Saccharomyces cerevisiae S288C: one gene and its partners. Changing the gene in region 3 together with the main gene of any one other region gives a genetic interaction. Each region holds a gene or a part of one and is shown on either strand. Other genes may lie near its edges.

Region 1 (5,593 bases), on a different chromosome or scaffold from region 3:
ACCTTCGTTGCGTGAGTAAGTAAGAGTTTGTGGTACTATTGTGGCGGCATCATCGTCCTGATCTGTGGAGTCCTTGTGCGGTTTATTGCTGTCTTTGAATTGTTGTTTTCCTTCAGACATCGTTAAATGAGCCTACCGTTTTGCCTCTATCCGTGATATCAGATAATGTTGCTATGTTCGGATGTACTTTGCTTTATTTATTAAGGGCTACTGTAACCTGCGTTATCCTGTTTCAATAATGCATCGTCCGTCTTAATTAATATTAGCCCGGCCATATTCTTCAGCATGAAAAGCTGTATTTACCCGGACTGCGCACCAACTTTTAAATATTAATCTCCGTTCGGTCTTTGCGCGAGTTATTATACTAGCGCCACGTATTAGTAATACTATAGCTATCTTGCCAGATAAGGGATCACAAGGAATTATATACCGTGGATCACAACTATCCATATCACTCTTCCCAATTTCGCGGAGAAATACTTATGCAGGTTTCCAAATCATTTCCGTAGCCAAAGCTGCCTGTTGGCCACTGTTTTGGCATCTCTCTACATTTTTTTTTTTCATTGATACTTTCAACCCAGACATTCTGTCACCTGGTGAAAAACGACACAAACTCCTTTGTAACAACAATTGCAATTTTAAGATATATGAGAATATTGATAAGGCTAGAAGGATGGTAGTAAGAAAAGTTGTTGTTGGTAATTTTTCAAAAAAGAGTTTCAAGAGCTGGGAAAAGAATTAAGGCAATGGGAAGCGAACCGTTTCAGAAAAAGAATTTGGGTCTGCAAATTAATTCGCAAGAAAGTGGAACAACCCGCTCAACATTTCATTCGCTAGAAGATCTAGGAGATGATGTAATTAATGAAAGCTGGGATCAGGTGAACCAAAAGAGAGCCAATATAGATCATGATGTCTTTCATGAGCACCCTGACTCTTCCCCATCATTGTCAGCACAGAAAGCAAAAACAAAAGAAGAGGAAGTTGCTGTAAAGTCATCGAACTCCCAGTCAAGAGACCCTTCTCCTGATACTCAAGCACATATTCCATATACTTATTTTTCCAAGGATCAAAGACTAATCATTTTTGGAATTATCATTTTTATAGGATTTTTGGGCCCAATGTCTGGAAACATATATATACCGGCTTTACCATTGCTGCAAAGGGAATATGATGTAAGTGCAACAACAATAAACGCTACAGTTTCTGTATTTATGGCTGTTTTTTCCGTTGGTCCATTGTTTTGGGGCGCACTGGCGGATTTTGGTGGAAGGAAATTCTTATATATGGTGTCGTTATCACTAATGTTAATTGTTAATATACTTTTGGCCGCTGTACCAGTCAATATTGCTGCCCTTTTTGTTTTAAGAATTTTCCAAGCTTTCGCTTCCAGCTCTGTGATTTCTCTGGGAGCTGGCACTGTAACAGACGTTGTTCCTCCAAAACACAGGGGAAAGGCCATAGCGTATTTCATGATGGGTCCAAACATGGGTCCTATTATAGCACCCATTGTTGCTGGGCTTATTTTAATGAAAGGAAATTACTGGAGATGGCTTTTTGGTTTCACTTCTATCATGACAGGAATAGCATTGATCTTGGTTACTGCTTTACTTCCAGAAACGCTACGTTGTATAGTTGGTAATGGAGACCCTAAATGGGGTGACAAAAAAGATGAACGTGAAAATAACGAATCTCCATTCTTCGAAGGTAATAAAATATCACATCGGCGTCTGTTCCCAGACATTGGTATCCGTAAACCAGTCAATAATGATGCTTTCTTCCAAGAAAATTTTCCAAAGCCGCCTAAAGCAGGTTTGACACTATATTGGAAAATGATTAAATGTCCTCCAATAATAATCACGTCCGTCAGTACTGCACTCCTGTTCTCCAGTTACTATGCGTTCAGCGTCACGTTTTCGTATTACCTTGAACATGACTACCGTTTTACTATGTTAGAAATTGGTGCTGCTTATGTCTGCCCAGGTGTAGCTATGTTACTAGGATCTCAATCTGGTGGGCACCTCTCAGATTATCTTCGTTCACGCTGGATCAAAAGTCATCCTAAAAAGAAATTCCCGGCAGAGTTTCGTTTATTACTGAACCTAATTGGAATTTTACTAACAATATGTGGCACAATAGGATACGGATGGGCAATCTTCTTTCATTATCATTTTGTGGTTCTTTTAGTTTTTTCCGCTCTCACTGCCTTTGGTATGACCTGGTGCAGCAACACATCAATGACATATTTAACTGAGTTATTCCCCAAAAGAGCTGCTGGAACTGTTGCTGTTAGTAGTTTCTTTCGAAATGTGGGCGCTGCCATTAGTTCCGCTATCATTTTACAGCTCTGTAACGCAATGGGAATTGGATGGTGTTTTACAGGGCTCGGTCTCTGCAGTTCAATTTCATTGATTGGTATATTATATCTTCTCATTTTTCAAAGAAAATATACTGCCAAAGAATTTTAAGAAATAGTTTATGTTTAGCTATAAAATTTAACTTTTAGAATTTTATTATATTATTTAACTTTCAAGAAAATTTTCTCATCACTCATCCCAAGGACTTCAAGAAATAGAACAATGCATCATAAGTTTATGAATTACGTGCATTTGGACCTTCAAAGAATAAAATCGAAGTTATAGTTAATTATATTAAATTAAGCCAAAAGTACATATATCTAAAAGGAAAAAGTATAAAAATTATGCAGGTCCAAGACATACTTAAGCCTTCAAAGAAGAAGCTCTTCTCTTTCTGATTTCGGCCTTTTCAGCCTTTCTTTCAGACAATCTCTTAGCCAACAATTGAGCGTATTCGGCAGCAGCTTCTCTTTGAGCTTGAGCGTTTCTGACCTTCAAAGCTCTTTGGTGTCTCTTTCTTTGCAATCTTTGAGGAGTAACCAATCTTTGGATCTTTGGAGCCTTGGTGTAAGTCTTTTCACCCTTGGTGACTTCTCTTCTGATGACGAAATCACGAACGTCATCTTCCTTGGACAAACCGAAGAACTTTCTGATGTTGTTAGCTCTCTTTGGACCCAATCTCTTTGGAACAGTAGTGTCAGTTAGACCTTCCAATTCTTGTTCACCCTTCTTGACAATGACCAAAGCCAAGACAGCCAAATCTGGACCAACAATGGCACCTCTGACGGACTTTCTCTTTCTTTCACCATCACGTCTTGGTCTGTAACAAGAAACGTTCTTGGTCAACAACAACTTGATTCTAGTTGGCAACAAAACACCTTGCTTCATTGGGAAACCTTGTTTGTCGTTACCACCAGAGATCTTGAAGACGTAGCCCTTGAATTCATCACCAACGGCTTCACCATCGACTTCTTGACCGATTCTCTTGTCGAAGAAAACACGAATACGGTGTTCATCATCAATTTCGAAGGTCTTTTGAGACCCGTTGACTGGGTAAGAAATGTTCAACTGTTATAAATAATACCATTTGTTAGTAAAGTTGTCCGAAGCCAATATCGACAAATTCCAACGAATCCCTGCTGTCCTTTCTTCCGTTACAGGTTTTTCTTATTTTCATTGATATTTCTAAACCCTTTTCGTAAATTCCTTTTTCATTCCTTAATTTGAACTTAGCGAGATATTTTCCTAAGTGTCGGTACGTGTATATTAGAGGGAATTATCTCGTTTAAACAACGTTGTTCTTGAGAATTTTTATTATAGTGCACTAATTTGTGGGTATACGTTTATCAAACAGTCAGAAACAGCCGGTTAGCGCGTGCTGATTCATTAGAATTCTAAGGATTTGGGTGATATTACATACCTTCATGATGGCTCAGTCGTCTATTCACACTGGATAGTTTCAATTAATGACTTCCAAATGTTTTGAAGGGCACACTATTCAAATTAAGATCACTTTTCATAAAGATGAATTTTTCTCCCATCAGGCATTCATTGACCGTGCCCTACAAACCAAGCCAGCCGAGATTGTATCAGCTCCACGCACATAGGATTTTCGCCTGCCCTTGGCCCATACCGAAAGAGTTTCCTAGGATGATGGGCCGGCATGAAGATAAGCGGCCTGTATGCCCGAGACACTGAAAAAAAACAGCAAAAAAATAAGATGTATGGAGTTCAAAGATGTATGGATGCAAGAAAAGAGGTTAATGGTGCAAACTGTAGAAAAAAAAGTAAGGAAATAATTTATTTTTAATAAAATTAACTGAAAAGATACATGTATATTTTTCTCAAATTAATCAATGCAATATGTGATATATTTGCTATCTGGCTTAATGAGATAATTTTTTACATAATTATGTTGAGAAGTTAACAGGGCAGTCTCTATTGTTTTGATCGATTGAGTGCACAAAAATTGGAAGGGGGCCGTGGAGCACTACCTGCAAATTGCTAGAAATTTGCGTCACTACATCTGAAAAATGTACGAGCGACATAATTGTCTATAGCCCTAATTTAGAAGACGTTTGCCTAAATGCGCCAACATACACTCTTAATTTTAAGCGAATGCTTTCTTGTAGTAAAAAGTAGCTAGAAAGCGATTCATTAATCTGGAGAGTTTGTCGAACTCGTGGATTTCAAAGTTGAACTAGCTACCGAGGAAGGAAAAACCACAATAGATGAAGACGGGCTTTTCGGAAATTTAGGCGGTCTTCCAATTGGCGGTTTCAGAAAGAATGTTTTGTTATTTACATAAGTGCTGCCACATCGGCCATTATGATATAAGTCGTCCATATCATTGTTCTTGAATCCCAAAAACTTTGAACGAGAAAGAGGGGAGGACATGTTGCTGGCGAGCATTTGATTGGGAGTGGCTTGTACATCCGTTTTCGGTGATGCGGTTCCTGAATACATTGCTGGCGACCTCTGGCAAGCGTCATTTGTGGCCTTCGGAATATTTAGCTTTAAATATGGCTTCCCTGAGAGCTTTCCTCTATTGCTGTTCAGTTGGTGCAGGTGATGGACCATCGCCTGCACTGGAGCTGGACCTTCCAAAGTATTTGATATAGCAACTGTCGGGTGTATCTTTTGCTTTGCTTCAAAGCTCTCGCTGTCACCCGTCCCATTAAATCCTTTTCCCATTGGGTTACTATTTGCCGGAATAACCTGTACAAATTGCGATTGAAAGGATGGAATATTGCCCACTAAACTTGCAGGCAATGAAGGCTTTGGCAAATTCTCGTAAGGCGACGGGTAAAAATTATGATAATTAGAGTGGTTAGATTCAGAAAGTAGTAAATGAGTATCCGGCCTAATCCTCTTGTTCATAAAATTCCTATGAATAGCCTCGTTTGCAACATGCTGTTGGTCTACGCTTTCTTTATAATCATTAGCATGAAAACTCCCACCAGAATTTAAACCGCCTTGCAACATTTGATAATCTGCACTATTTCTTGCACAGTCAGAATGATTGGATCCGCTACGTGATATTGCTCCGTGGCAATGCACCAATGGTGTACTTACACCAGCGTTCCCGGCGTCATTTGACGCCAACGGAGCGCTTAAATTCCCATTGTTTTGTACACTGGAGGAATCTTGACTCGAAACTGTACAACTCCCAGAATGGGAAGCTGGTTGCAACACGGTTGCTCTTCTTCGCCTGCGCTTCCTTTCATTCAGAACAACAC
Region 2 (5,717 bases), on a different chromosome or scaffold from region 3:
GTCTGCTTTCAAGATCAACGTGCTGAACATTTTTACTCTGCTTTCATAATACTCCCATTTTAGGCTTTGATTCAAAAGCCCACTCAATGCAATACCTAAAATGATATCCTTCAAAGATATGTTTAATGAATATGCAGCCACAGCTTTGAATTCAGATTGACCTTGTGTTGCATTAAGTCAGACACCTCTAGATTTGTGTGGCTGCTCTCAAGAAAGGATGTTGAAGAAGATTTATTTACGGAAGAAATAACTGTATACGGCATTTTATTCTTTCTTAAACGAGCAAATTAAAGAATAGACGGATAGAGACTGGAGCTTTAGCATGTGTTCCGAGAAGTCCTTGACACGCGCCACGGTTGTTATGCCGCACACTACAATGATGTGTTTGAAAAAGTATATTAATGCCTATTGTCAAGATGCAATTCATCAATTCCAGCATTGAGTGATTCTTCTCTGGTGCGGTAAAACATAAATTTTAAATCTAGTACTCAACCACCACTGAACAACTATTAATCATCGTGGAAATTATTATGACGGAAATTGAATTTGGGCAACCCCTTCCCAGCAATCTAGACTATGCTGTTTCTTTTGGCATTCCTACATGGGATTCGGCAATAGGCTATGCGGAAAAGGTGCCAGAGGTAATAGGCAAAATGGCTACAGGATATCCGAGGTACTTTCCTCAACCCCCCGTCCAGAGGCTTTGTGCTTACTTTGTTAAGAAATTTGGGCGAGGTTCAGAAAACTGTCGTCCTTTTCCATCCGTTAACCTGGGTTTAAAGTGTTTCGAGTACGTAAAATCTGTCTCAGGACCTGAAAGTAAAGCTCACCTTGAAGTGGAAACAGTTACGATTAAAAACCGTGGGGCAAAAACGTCGAAAGAACCGGCGGAATTGGTGCTAACCATTGCTGCTGTCCTTGCATCGGAGGAAGAGTTCGAGACTGTGAAAGAGTATTGGAAATTAAGAGGTGAATGTGTATCTAGTCGATTGGCGTTGTCTGTCAACCAACTTCTTGACTGCGCTAATCATGGCTCAGAGCAGGTATTGCGTGAGCTAGAGGCTGGTGTTTTTGCAGCAAAGAAGGGGGAGGAGAAAGCAAAGAACCTGATAAAGGGAAGGATAGTTGAGAATCGCTTCAGGCCCTTTGGTTTGGAGAAGAAAACCCCGAATTGGGAGGGACTCAACCTCAACCCAAATGAAGACGTTTATCTTGTATCAAGTGGCATGTCTGCAATATCTACGGCTCGTAATTTACTCACCTTTTGGGAGGAGAAGAAGAATTCAGGAGATTCATTAAACAAGACCACCTCTGACCAAAAGAAAAAGCCATTATTATGTGACACTGTTGGCATCTTCGGCTTCCCTTTCAAAGATACGCAGGTCATTATGACTAAATTTGGAAAATGTAAATTTTTTGGATTTGGAAATTCTAGAGACGTTGTCGAATTACAAAAGTTTTTAGAAACAAGCAAACAACGCATTCTTGCCGTTTTCGTCGAGACACCTTCAAATCCTCTGCTGAATATGCCGGATTTGAAAAAATTGAGGAGTTTGGCCGACCAGTATGGCTTTTTTATTGTAATTGATGATACTATTGGGGGCCTTAACGTTGACATCTTGCCCTATGCTGATATAGTCAGCACGTCCCTGACTAAGCTTTTCAATGGTGCTAGTAATGTAATGGGCGGCTCTGTCGTTTTAAATCCGAAATCATCTCTGTATCCATATGCTCGTGAGTACTTCAGGAGCGCTAATTTCGAGGATTTGTTATGGTGTGAAGATGCGATAGTTTTAGAACGTAATTCCAGGGATTTTGAAGATAGAACTTTACGTGCTAATGCAAACACAGGAATATTGTTGAATGATTTGCTTTTACCCGAGGAGGGGAAAATATGCAAAAAGATTTATTATCCAACTGTTACTTCTAAGGAGACCTTTGAGAACTACGAAAGTGTACGTAATGAACGTGGTGGCTATGGATGCTTGTTCTCTGTAGCCTTTTTCAATGAGGGCGATGCAAAAGCATTCTATGACTCTTTAAAGGTATTCAAGGGACCTTCTAATGGTACTAACTTTACCTTAGCATGTCCATATGTCCATCTGGCGCACCACTCAGAATTAGAAGAAGTTTCCAAGTTTGGGGCCGACCCCAACATTATTAGAGTAAGCGTAGGTTTAGAAGATATCCAGTGGTTATTGAAAGTTTTTTCAAGTGCTTTAGATGTTGTGAAAAGCAGAGGCTCCAAACACTCATGAAGCAGATCATGAGTAGAATATCAAAAATCAAGAATTCTTTATAATCTTTATAGAATATTGTTTATAAAAGTTTTTTTCCATTCTAGCATATAATTTTTTTGGAGGAAGTCTTTTCTGGAACCTTCACATGGATCTTAATTAATGAAAGTAGACAGAGCTCATAAGATCACTAGTTGTTTATAAACTGAAGATGTTCCTTCTTATTGACTTCAACATTATATCGCTCTGAATTAGTTGATCTGTAACTTCAGAGTTTCTTTACCAGAATAAAAGCGTCACAGTTTTTCTTTAGTTTATATGTACACAGGTTGGGGTTTACTATAAACTATAAAAAAGAAGTGTTGTCGCCGCTATTTTAAGGTTTATACACAATTTTAACCAAAAAAAAGAATAAGTTGAGCAACGTTGGAACTGCCTCTGCAACGAATTCCGGCTATATACAACCTGCATCTTTGAAATTCAAATATCCAAAGTTAATGAAGAAGGATAATAATTTTCATCATTCAAAAACTTTAGATCTTCCACGGGCCTTTCCGCTTGTGGAGTAATCCTGAACGCATGTCTGTGAATTGGTTCTTCCCAATCAATCACTGCTGAATGTTGAACTCTGCGGTTATCCCAAATGACGACGGAATGAGGTTCCCATTTGGCTCTTAACTGTAAATCATGGCTGCTCTCCACTAGATTGTACAAGAAATTCAAAAGTGATTCAGATTCTTGTCTTTTCAATTCGACTATTTTCCTAGAAAATGCACGATTGACATACAAGCATTTCTTTTTCAAGACAGGATGAACTCTGACCAGTGGATGAATATGCGTGACAGGTGCTCTTCTTTTTATGCCGCCCTGGCGCTGTGAATTCTCTGCCTGTTCCTTTGAGCTATGGATGACATGAAGCGTGCTCAAGAAATCTTGCAAAGGCTTCGACAACCTGTCGAAAGCCTCGATCGTATCCGCAAATAACGTATCTCCACCACCATCAGGACCTTCAACAACACTAAAGAAAGTATAAGAAGGTGGCTGTAACTCGTAAGAGACGTCTGTGTGCCAGCCACCAGATGATGTCGAGTCATCAAAAACTCTTGCAAATTCTTCCGCATCAGGTCTTCGGAAAGTGATATGCAGCTCAGGATTGTTTTGAGGGTGGCCACTAGTTTGATGAATGTGCAACTTGCCAAAATGTCTTCCGTATTCAGTCACATAATCGGGTCCCTCGTCAGCAAAATTCTGATTTCTAAAGACAACTACTCCCTTTTGGGCGACAAGCAAAGCGAGTTCATCTTTTGCAGCATCAGAAAGATCAGTTAGCTGGATCCCATTGATCTCGAGACCTAATTTCGGGGTGATCTTCTTCACCTTTAGTTGACCAACGTTTTCTTTTGCAAAAAGGTTTGAAAAGTTACCGTCAGCTCTCAAAGCAGGATCATGGTATTCGTGAAATTCCAGCGGGCCATACTTTTCAGTAGGATCCCATGTAGGCAAATAATCTGGATACTTCGATTTCTCTCTATAAGATTTACGGATTTTCAATAAACCAGATGGAGAGACCTCATCTTGGCCATCATAAAAATGGGTATCAAAATTCCCGTAACCTTGCTTGGAGGTATAATTCAGGTTTTTCAACCCATTTGTAATGATTTTGACTGGTAAATCGGTAGATGGAAGAGGGATTGCTGTTTGAGCTGCTGCAGGAGACATATTTTAACTGGGTTACTGTGCTATGTTTGTACAAGTATGAAAGGGCCGATTATACAGCAATAGTACACCTTTTTATATGTTTCTGTCATCAAGAACTGTTACTGACTCCTTAACTTTTCCAGCATTCTTGTTGTATTGCCTACATACCTTCTTTATGTTAGTAGTATGATAAATAAACTCCATGTGCCCTGTGGCGCCAAATAAGAAATCGACTCAAGCCACATTGAGGCTTTTGTCATCATTCCCCTATATACTAATATAGCACCTTTCCAAGGGCCAAGAGCTCGTCCAATGAGACGCATGAGTTGGGTATTTTAAGCTGCACAGTAGACTATATAGATAAAGCTAACTAGTATGTAAAAAACGTTACATGCTATGGCGCTCTTAGAAAAAACGCATAATATAAGCTTCAAGTCAGTTTAAGCTATAGTTCGCACGGATATCTTCAAGAAGACCGATTTGTTGTGGCTGCCATCCCAGCTCTTTTCTGGTACCTTCGCTTGAAACTGGGCCATCTCTAGTGACAAAACAAGTGAGGAAGCCAAAATGACTTTCCGCGTCATCAACAGGGATAGAGGCCACGGGAACATTCAAAATTTCTCCAATCACACGCGCAATATCTTTGAATGGTATACCTTGTTCACCAACGCAATGATACACTTGTCCTGTTTTTCCTTTCTCTAAAACAAGTCTGAACAGAGGAGCCGTATCCAAACGATGTACAGCCGCCCAAGCGTTTGTGCCTTGTCCGACATAGCCAGATTTTCCGGCAGCTTTGGCAATATTCATTAATATTGGTACAAAAGCCTTGTCCCCCTTGCCATGAACCGAGAATGGGAGTCTGACAATTCTTGCTGAAACACCTTTGTCTTTGTAACTCAAGGCAACCTGTTCAGTGACAGCACGCAAAATTTTGGAATCTTCATCAATACCATCCTGTTCGTTAGCAACTTTGTTTGGTCGCAAAGAAAGTGTACCATTCGTATATAAGAAAGGCTTGTTAGAACCTTTAAGTGACTCTAGCATAGCTACAGTGGCCTGACGGTCAATTTCGCAGCACTGTTCAAAATTTTTAAAATCATGCACAAATCCTAAATGAATAACGCCATCAGATTCAGTGGCACCTTTTTTCAAAATTTCCAGATCCTTGAGATCACCGCGAAGGATTTTTGCAGCAGGATCAATCGACTTAATCTTTGCAGCAGCCTCGTCTGACCTTGCCAAGCCAACAACTTCATGACCCGAGGATATTAGTTCAGATAATACGGCAGAACCAATGAAGCCAGAAGCACCAGTTATAAATACTTTCATTTTTTGATCTCTTTTTTATTTTCTTTTGTAAAAGTTGAGTTATCACGCCTTAGCGCTTATGAATACAAGAGTGATTGTAAGCATAGTTGATAGAAGCGGGAGCCGTTATTTATACGTTAGTTGAGTACTTGAGGGTCTTCATCGCCTACTTTTTTTCCTTAATATCCTTGTGTTAGTAATCATATCTTCAGGAAAGCCAAGAACTAATGGCAAATTAAATCCGCGGCTTTCCCTTTAAACTTTTTCCAGCACAATCTATTATGTTGAGAAGTTCCGCTAATTTCCGCATTGGAAAAAGAATCTCATCTGCAAAAACGATGGTTTCTTTCTTCCACGGAAGACTTATGTCCGTCCTCTCTATTTTCATATTGTTCTTTCTCTCTCTTTTTGCATAACGTCACAATACCCTAGTGCTACCGTCATTGGCGCAGCATAAGAGTATTGCATTTC
Region 3 (7,439 bases):
TGTAAGATGCCTGCACATTCTCATCAAGCACAAGGATTCAAGAAGACCCGCATCGCATAGATCCGAGAACATTACGATATCCAAGCAAGACGCTACGGACGAACTGAAAACCTTAATCACGAGGTTGGATGACGACTCTAAGACGAACTCCTTCGAGGCCCTGGCTAAAGAGAGATCAGATTGCTCTTCATACAAGCGAGGCGGCGACCTCGGCTGGTTCGGGAGAGGCGAGATGCAGCCTAGCTTTGAAGACGCTGCCTTCCAGCTCAAGGTCGGCGAGGTAAGCGATATCGTTGAATCAGGAAGCGGTGTTCATGTGATCAAGCGGGTAGGTTAGGTTGGCATTTGCTTCTCCACCTCACCTTTTTATGTTCTTATTCCCTCTTGTATCCATTCCGTCCTCGCTGAACCCATGAAAAGAAAAAAAATTAACTAGTCACATAGTTAAATGGCGCTGTTCTTCGCTGCGAGCGGAACCGGGCCTGAAAAAAAATTTTCTCTTTTCCTCTCCAGATGACTCAGTAATATAGTAGTATATTATATAATGTAACAAAAGAAGAGACTGAAGTTTTATTATGCATTGTAGCGCCTGTAATCTTTAGTAACGGATTCTTGTATTTTTTTGTAAACAGCCAAGAAAAAAGTAGAGATGGGCTTGTTAACGAAAGTTGCTACATCTAGACAATTCTCTACAACGAGATGCGTTGCAAAGAAGCTCAACAAGTACTCGTATATCATCACTGAACCTAAGGGCCAAGGTGCGTCCCAGGCCATGCTTTATGCCACCGGTTTCAAGAAGGAAGATTTCAAGAAGCCTCAAGTCGGGGTTGGTTCCTGTTGGTGGTCCGGTAACCCATGTAACATGCATCTATTGGACTTGAATAACAGATGTTCTCAATCCATTGAAAAAGCGGGTTTGAAAGCTATGCAGTTCAACACCATCGGTGTTTCAGACGGTATCTCTATGGGTACTAAAGGTATGAGATACTCGTTACAAAGTAGAGAAATCATTGCAGACTCCTTTGAAACCATCATGATGGCACAACACTACGATGCTAACATCGCCATCCCATCATGTGACAAAAACATGCCCGGTGTCATGATGGCCATGGGTAGACATAACAGACCTTCCATCATGGTATATGGTGGTACTATCTTGCCCGGTCATCCAACATGTGGTTCTTCGAAGATCTCTAAAAACATCGATATCGTCTCTGCGTTCCAATCCTACGGTGAATATATTTCCAAGCAATTCACTGAAGAAGAAAGAGAAGATGTTGTGGAACATGCATGCCCAGGTCCTGGTTCTTGTGGTGGTATGTATACTGCCAACACAATGGCTTCTGCCGCTGAAGTGCTAGGTTTGACCATTCCAAACTCCTCTTCCTTCCCAGCCGTTTCCAAGGAGAAGTTAGCTGAGTGTGACAACATTGGTGAATACATCAAGAAGACAATGGAATTGGGTATTTTACCTCGTGATATCCTCACAAAAGAGGCTTTTGAAAACGCCATTACTTATGTCGTTGCAACCGGTGGGTCCACTAATGCTGTTTTGCATTTGGTGGCTGTTGCTCACTCTGCGGGTGTCAAGTTGTCACCAGATGATTTCCAAAGAATCAGTGATACTACACCATTGATCGGTGACTTCAAACCTTCTGGTAAATACGTCATGGCCGATTTGATTAACGTTGGTGGTACCCAATCTGTGATTAAGTATCTATATGAAAACAACATGTTGCACGGTAACACAATGACTGTTACCGGTGACACTTTGGCAGAACGTGCAAAGAAAGCACCAAGCCTACCTGAAGGACAAGAGATTATTAAGCCACTCTCCCACCCAATCAAGGCCAACGGTCACTTGCAAATTCTGTACGGTTCATTGGCACCAGGTGGAGCTGTGGGTAAAATTACCGGTAAGGAAGGTACTTACTTCAAGGGTAGAGCACGTGTGTTCGAAGAGGAAGGTGCCTTTATTGAAGCCTTGGAAAGAGGTGAAATCAAGAAGGGTGAAAAAACCGTTGTTGTTATCAGATATGAAGGTCCAAGAGGTGCACCAGGTATGCCTGAAATGCTAAAGCCTTCCTCTGCTCTGATGGGTTACGGTTTGGGTAAAGATGTTGCATTGTTGACTGATGGTAGATTCTCTGGTGGTTCTCACGGGTTCTTAATCGGCCACATTGTTCCCGAAGCCGCTGAAGGTGGTCCTATCGGGTTGGTCAGAGACGGCGATGAGATTATCATTGATGCTGATAATAACAAGATTGACCTATTAGTCTCTGATAAGGAAATGGCTCAACGTAAACAAAGTTGGGTTGCACCTCCACCTCGTTACACAAGAGGTACTCTATCCAAGTATGCTAAGTTGGTTTCCAACGCTTCCAACGGTTGTGTTTTAGATGCTTGATGCATTATAGGCCCCAATCGATGAATATATATATAGAGATTCTCCTTTTCCATCATCTTTTTTGTTCGCAATCTTTTCATATATATATATATATAAATATTTATTATAGTCCATTGAATGGATAAACATTTATTTAAAAAAAAACAACGATCAGTATTTTTTTATTTGAAAAGTCGCCTTAATTATAATCTACGAAATTAACTCTGCTTTGCTGCCACTAAAGCCTTCTGTTTTAGTTTTCTACTAGCATACTTGCCAACAAATGGTAACAGTGCCGTATTCAAGGCAATGAGTGCGACTAAAATACCATAATTCCGACCCATCTTGCGTCTTGTCACGTCAAAAAAAATAACCCTGTAGATATCGATGACGTTGTGAACGGGCATCATGTACCCATATCTATAAACATTATTGTTTAGCGCTAATGGGAAGAAAGAAGGTGCAATATTGAGAATGACAAATGATAGGATCCAGAACCCGAGATACTGGGGTCCTAACGTAATAACAAGCATAACCGCATTTTCGTTAGCTCCTCCCGCAGCAAGCATGAAGAGCCACGTAGACATCCAATATACGACGAAGCCACCTCTACCAAAGGACTTGGTAAAATCGACTTGAAAGATGGCGGTTGTTGTGCAGAAGAACAAAGACGCAAAGAAAAAGGTGAACCATGACATAGCGATACGGTAAATTAAACCGTTGGCTGGTCTTAGCACTTTTGCCATTTCTACGTGTAATGGGCCGTACAATAGAAATTGGAAAAAAGTTAGCAGTAAACAGTAAACAACACCGATTTGTGTGGGTGCCAGTAGAATACGGTCTGTGAATGGTCTGTGGTCATAGTATTCGTAGTTATATTTACCTGCTGCAGCGATATACCTTGCATTGTTAGTTAGTGCATAACGATATACCTGGGTTATGTTTGTCAATAACGGCGGCAGATAATTTAGTGTGTAGAATGTATGGTAGTACTCTTCAATGGTCTGAGCAACCGGTAAAATCGTTGATTTTAGGTTTGTCGGGTCTCTACCAGTTTCATATACCACCTGATTAAACAGCGTAGAATTGAATAGTGGTGCGGTATCGTTGATTAGTGATTCAAATAGAGTCTCCGTGGCGTTTGGCTTGATATTAATGGCAAACCAGTATTTTTCGTCGTAAACCAAATCGACAACCTTGTCATTGACTTGCTGTGGCGTATTTACGTCGAACTTGGCCTGGAAGGTAGGACTGTTATAAATATCCCAATCACATGGTATTTTATTGATAAAAGTAGGCAAAGCATACGATATGGAGGGCACTACCATGGAACTGTTATTATCCAAAATTACCACAGGGGGTTCCTGGATAACAACCAGAAGCTTAACTTTGTGTAGATACTTGCTGGTGTCGTAAAGAGCCCCCCAGAACAACACAAACATTGTAAAGCAAATTATGGCCAGTAAGCAATTTGTGAAAACAAACTTTAAAAGAACTTTCTTCCTTTGACCCTGTAGATTAGGAGAAAAAAATGAGCCACTCGAAGGAGGAAACGCTTTCTTATCCTCGGAATTTGGCTCAGGGTCCTTCGAAGAATCCGTTGTTTGACCATCCATGTCTGGCACACCTTGTGAGACAGCATCACCGACCACGCTGGAAAGGTCATGTATATCGTTGCGTCTGCAATATTCCTCGTCCGCTTCCATATTATTATATGCTGTTGGTTCTATATCATCTAGAGATGAAGTCATAACTATACTTACTTACGGCTGGATTGAGTTGTGTTTTGTACGCCTATGGTCAACAACAAATTTTGCAGTTTTTCGGTTGCAAATAATTTGAATAGGCAATGGGGACTATATTTATTGTCCTACTACGAAGGTTTCAGAGAAGGAACGGCGCAGGCGCACGAGGGCCGGCTGCACAGTATATATGAGCGACGATCTCAAGAACGATATAGGGTTTGACTATCTAACCTACACGCCTGGTTACCAAGTAAAAAGTCCTTTTCTCCCAGAACGGTGCTATTACATATTTATGGATTGCTTACTTGGCAGCTCCTTCTGCAGCAGGCTTTTTCTTCTTCTTAGCATCGATGGTTTCCACTTTGACGTCCTTTAGGCCTTTTTCTTCCAGCAAGGAATGTATGTAAGTTTCCACTTCATCCATCACGTCACCTTGAATGACAACTTCTTCTTTTTTCTCTGCATTTTTCGAGACTGAGCACCCTGTGGCGAACCTAGACGCAAATGTCTTGGCTAGCTTTTTCATGTCGATGTCGAAAACTTCCAGCCCAGAGATAGCGACGATAAACTTTCTCTTGGTCCTAGCTTCTCTTTTAATGATCACTTTCGATGACAGCTTCTTAGCTAATTCTCTTTGTTCCCTGTTTTCCTGTTTTTTTTGAATTTTCAGCAAGTCCTTTTCCAACTTTTCCTCTCTAGCTTCGCCAATACTGGATTCAGCCAGTTTGTTGGTCACGGCTTCCACCTCTTGCGTATTATCGTCAGTACCGTATAGCTTTGCATAAAGGTCTGCGTGGTTTTCAGATAACCAAACTTTACAACGCTTTAATTTTCCTGAAAACTCGCAGTACTCTGGTGGGTAGGAGCAAATTCCACAATAGATGACTTCTCTTAACATTTTATGCAATATGCTTTTCTTTAGTTTAGCTCTTGAACTGTTTCCTTGGGGTGATTTTATCCAGTAGGAATTAATAATTTTTTCACTCACACATCACATCAAGTATCTTTTTCCTTTTTTTTTTCAGCTTTTTTCTCTTTTGGTGGTGCGCTTTTGCATTTTTTTTTTCATATTTACACATTCATTATATGAGTAGATTTATAGAATTGATGTACATGGTGCAAGTTCACGTCAGTCAGTTGTTCTTTTTGTTGGAAACTGTGGGTTGCGTCGGTATCTTAATATCAGTAATAAATTGACCCAGTAGCCACACATTGGTGACGAAAAATAACACGCTTGCAATAAATAGTCCAGGATAGAATACATTCTTGCCTTCGAATTCCAAATAGTAACCTTGGCTTAACCAAATTCCCTGCGTTCCTACCCAAAGCGTGGCCATTAAAAGCCCCTTCTTCCAACCAATGTGCGTTCTTGAGAGGTAAAATGGTAGAAAGATCAGGTACCAAACAAAATATTGCGATGTGCACACTTTATTATATGTCACAAATGCGAACGTCTGCACAAATAAAACCCTCAATAGGTTATCGAATGTGGGATTCCACCATTCAAGACATCCAGTTACTAAAACAAGCAGCAATTGAGGCACAAATGCGTACCTTGAGAGATTGGACTCACCATTTTCCTTATTTGCAGAATCTAAATACAATAGCATGTTCCACACTGAAAAATTGTGTCTGTGATCCGTTCTGTATAAGTGGTACAAGTATGCCTGATCCAGAAACTCGTATCCGTATATCTTGTACATTGCCCAACCACATCCAAGCAAAGTTGTTAGAGTACTCAAACCGATATTGAGTAGCGATGTAAGTTGTGTTCGTGGACCCTGGTTTCTTTTATTGTAGTATATAAAAATTGCTATTGGGATACAATATATGATTGGATATATTTTGAAATGGATAGAAAGACCATATAAGATTCCAGCTAGGGTGTATCTACTCTTTTGTAGAAAAAAAAGCGTGAACATGATCAAACAGCAAAGCACGCTTTCAGCGTTTCCCCTTGTACTGATGGTGATAACCATCGGATTCAATAGCCAAATGCTTTCCAATATTAAAGCTCTTTTTCTGGAGATGGCCTGGTTCAAAAGCTTCATTATAATGAGCCCAGTAACCAAATCGAAAATAACAAATATGACCTTCCCCAAATGAAACCATCCAAAATAATGATTAGGCACTAGCAGCCAACTTAGTAGCGGTGTGTAACGATATGTATCCCTTGCATAAGGTGATTTGCCTTCGTATACATATTTAGCAGCATCATGAAACACAAAATAGTCGATATCAGTGTACCTCACTTTGAAATTAGCGTCCTGGTAAATGCCAAAAAGAAAAAATCCGACTCTTACCAAGAATGACAGTACAGTCAAGCCCCATTCTTCGCCAGTCATCTTTCAACTTTATCACCTTTTACCTTGCTTGTCAGTTGTTGACTTTTTTATGTATATATATTGTGTTTTTTTTTGTCAAGTTCTTACCAACTATTAAAGTTTCTTTTATTATTATCGGAGCCTGTAAAAGAGCTCCACATGTTTCGGTTTACCTCTTGAAAATTGATTGCGAACATAACGAGTCAAGCATGGCAGCAGGTGGTGAACTTAGTTATGAAGAGTTGCTGGATCACATTCTGAATAACAAGCCTATACCTAATATTGTGGAGGTGCCCAATGTTACGCTGGATGAGGGTTTAGCTAGTACTCCTTCATTGAGGCCAAGACCTAGGCCTTGGGAAGGTCAGCTGCAGCATCAATCTCATCAAGGATCATTAGACAAACCCAATATATCTCTGGACATTGATCAAGAAAGCCTAGAAGGCATGACCTCATTAACAAGGCTGTCTGAATGTTACGATATACAGTCTAAGTTACAGATTAATGACAGTGACAACGATAATGATGACAATAACAATGATAACAATAAAGGCGATGGCAATGATGACGACAATAATACAGTAACAGCAAATCCAACAGCTAGGTAAATTATTCACCCAACAGGTATGTAAAAAAATGCATTTATATATTTATATATAGTACTATTATCTTCCCTTTTCTACTTAAATTTTATATCGCTCATTCATACTTAATCATAGACCTGCCCTTTTTGCGTTTAAAAGAATACAAAGGCACATGCATCTCCTTCTTTTGTCTGCATAATGTTTCTAACAAAGTTAGTGCGATATCTGTCGTTTTATCCTTTCCTTTTTATTAATTTCACAGTCTGATCTTTTATTGTGATTAGATAAGCGGCGTTGGTTTTAATTTCACGCTAGTTAAGTCAAAGCAGAATAGAGAATAGCTCTACAAGAAAAAGGACAAATAAGGTAACTGTGATAGCATATAAAGGCGTATGAGTGA

What was found. A genetic interaction does not mean that the proteins touch.
Region 1: mutations in TMA22 (region 3) and RPS6B together harm fitness more than expected from each alone (negative genetic interaction), as found in Saccharomyces cerevisiae (2 studies listed by BioGRID).
Region 2: mutations in TMA22 (region 3) and JLP1 together harm fitness more than expected from each alone (negative genetic interaction), as found in Saccharomyces cerevisiae (2 studies listed by BioGRID).

Annotation. Positions count from the first base shown.
Region 1 is NC_001134.8:588,995-594,587, forward strand, and holds RPS6B (40S ribosomal protein eS6 RPS6B), read right to left. Parts: upstream 3,781-5,593; coding exon 3,775-3,780; intron 3,423-3,774; coding exon 2,718-3,422; downstream 1-2,717. Other genes in the region: FZO1 (mitofusin), read right to left, coding at 1-120; DTR1 (Dtr1p), read left to right, coding at 747-2,465; SMP1 (Smp1p), read right to left, coding at 4,512-5,593.
Region 2 is NC_001144.5:23,039-28,755, forward strand, and holds JLP1 (sulfonate dioxygenase), read right to left. Parts: upstream 3,957-5,717; coding exon 2,718-3,956; downstream 1-2,717. Other genes in the region: HSU1 (cystathionine gamma-synthase), read left to right, coding at 531-2,258; YLL056C (uncharacterized protein), read right to left, coding at 4,371-5,267. UniProt on the Saccharomyces cerevisiae protein: Acts as an alpha-ketoglutarate-dependent dioxygenase active on sulfonates. Although taurine is a poor substrate, a variety of other sulfonates are utilized, with the best natural substrates being isethionate and taurocholate.
Region 3 is NC_001142.9:459,419-466,857, reverse strand, and holds TMA22 (Tma22p), read right to left. Parts: upstream 5,030-7,439; coding exon 4,433-5,029; downstream 1-4,432. Other genes in the region: peptidylprolyl isomerase ESS1, read left to right, coding at 1-337; dihydroxy-acid dehydratase ILV3, read left to right, coding at 650-2,407; YJR015W (uncharacterized protein), read right to left, coding at 2,605-4,137; GPI14 (glycosylphosphatidylinositol-alpha 1,4 mannosyltransferase I), read right to left, coding at 5,265-6,476; YJR012C (uncharacterized protein), read left to right, coding at 6,665-7,063; CAL4 (Cal4p), read left to right, coding at 7,432-7,439.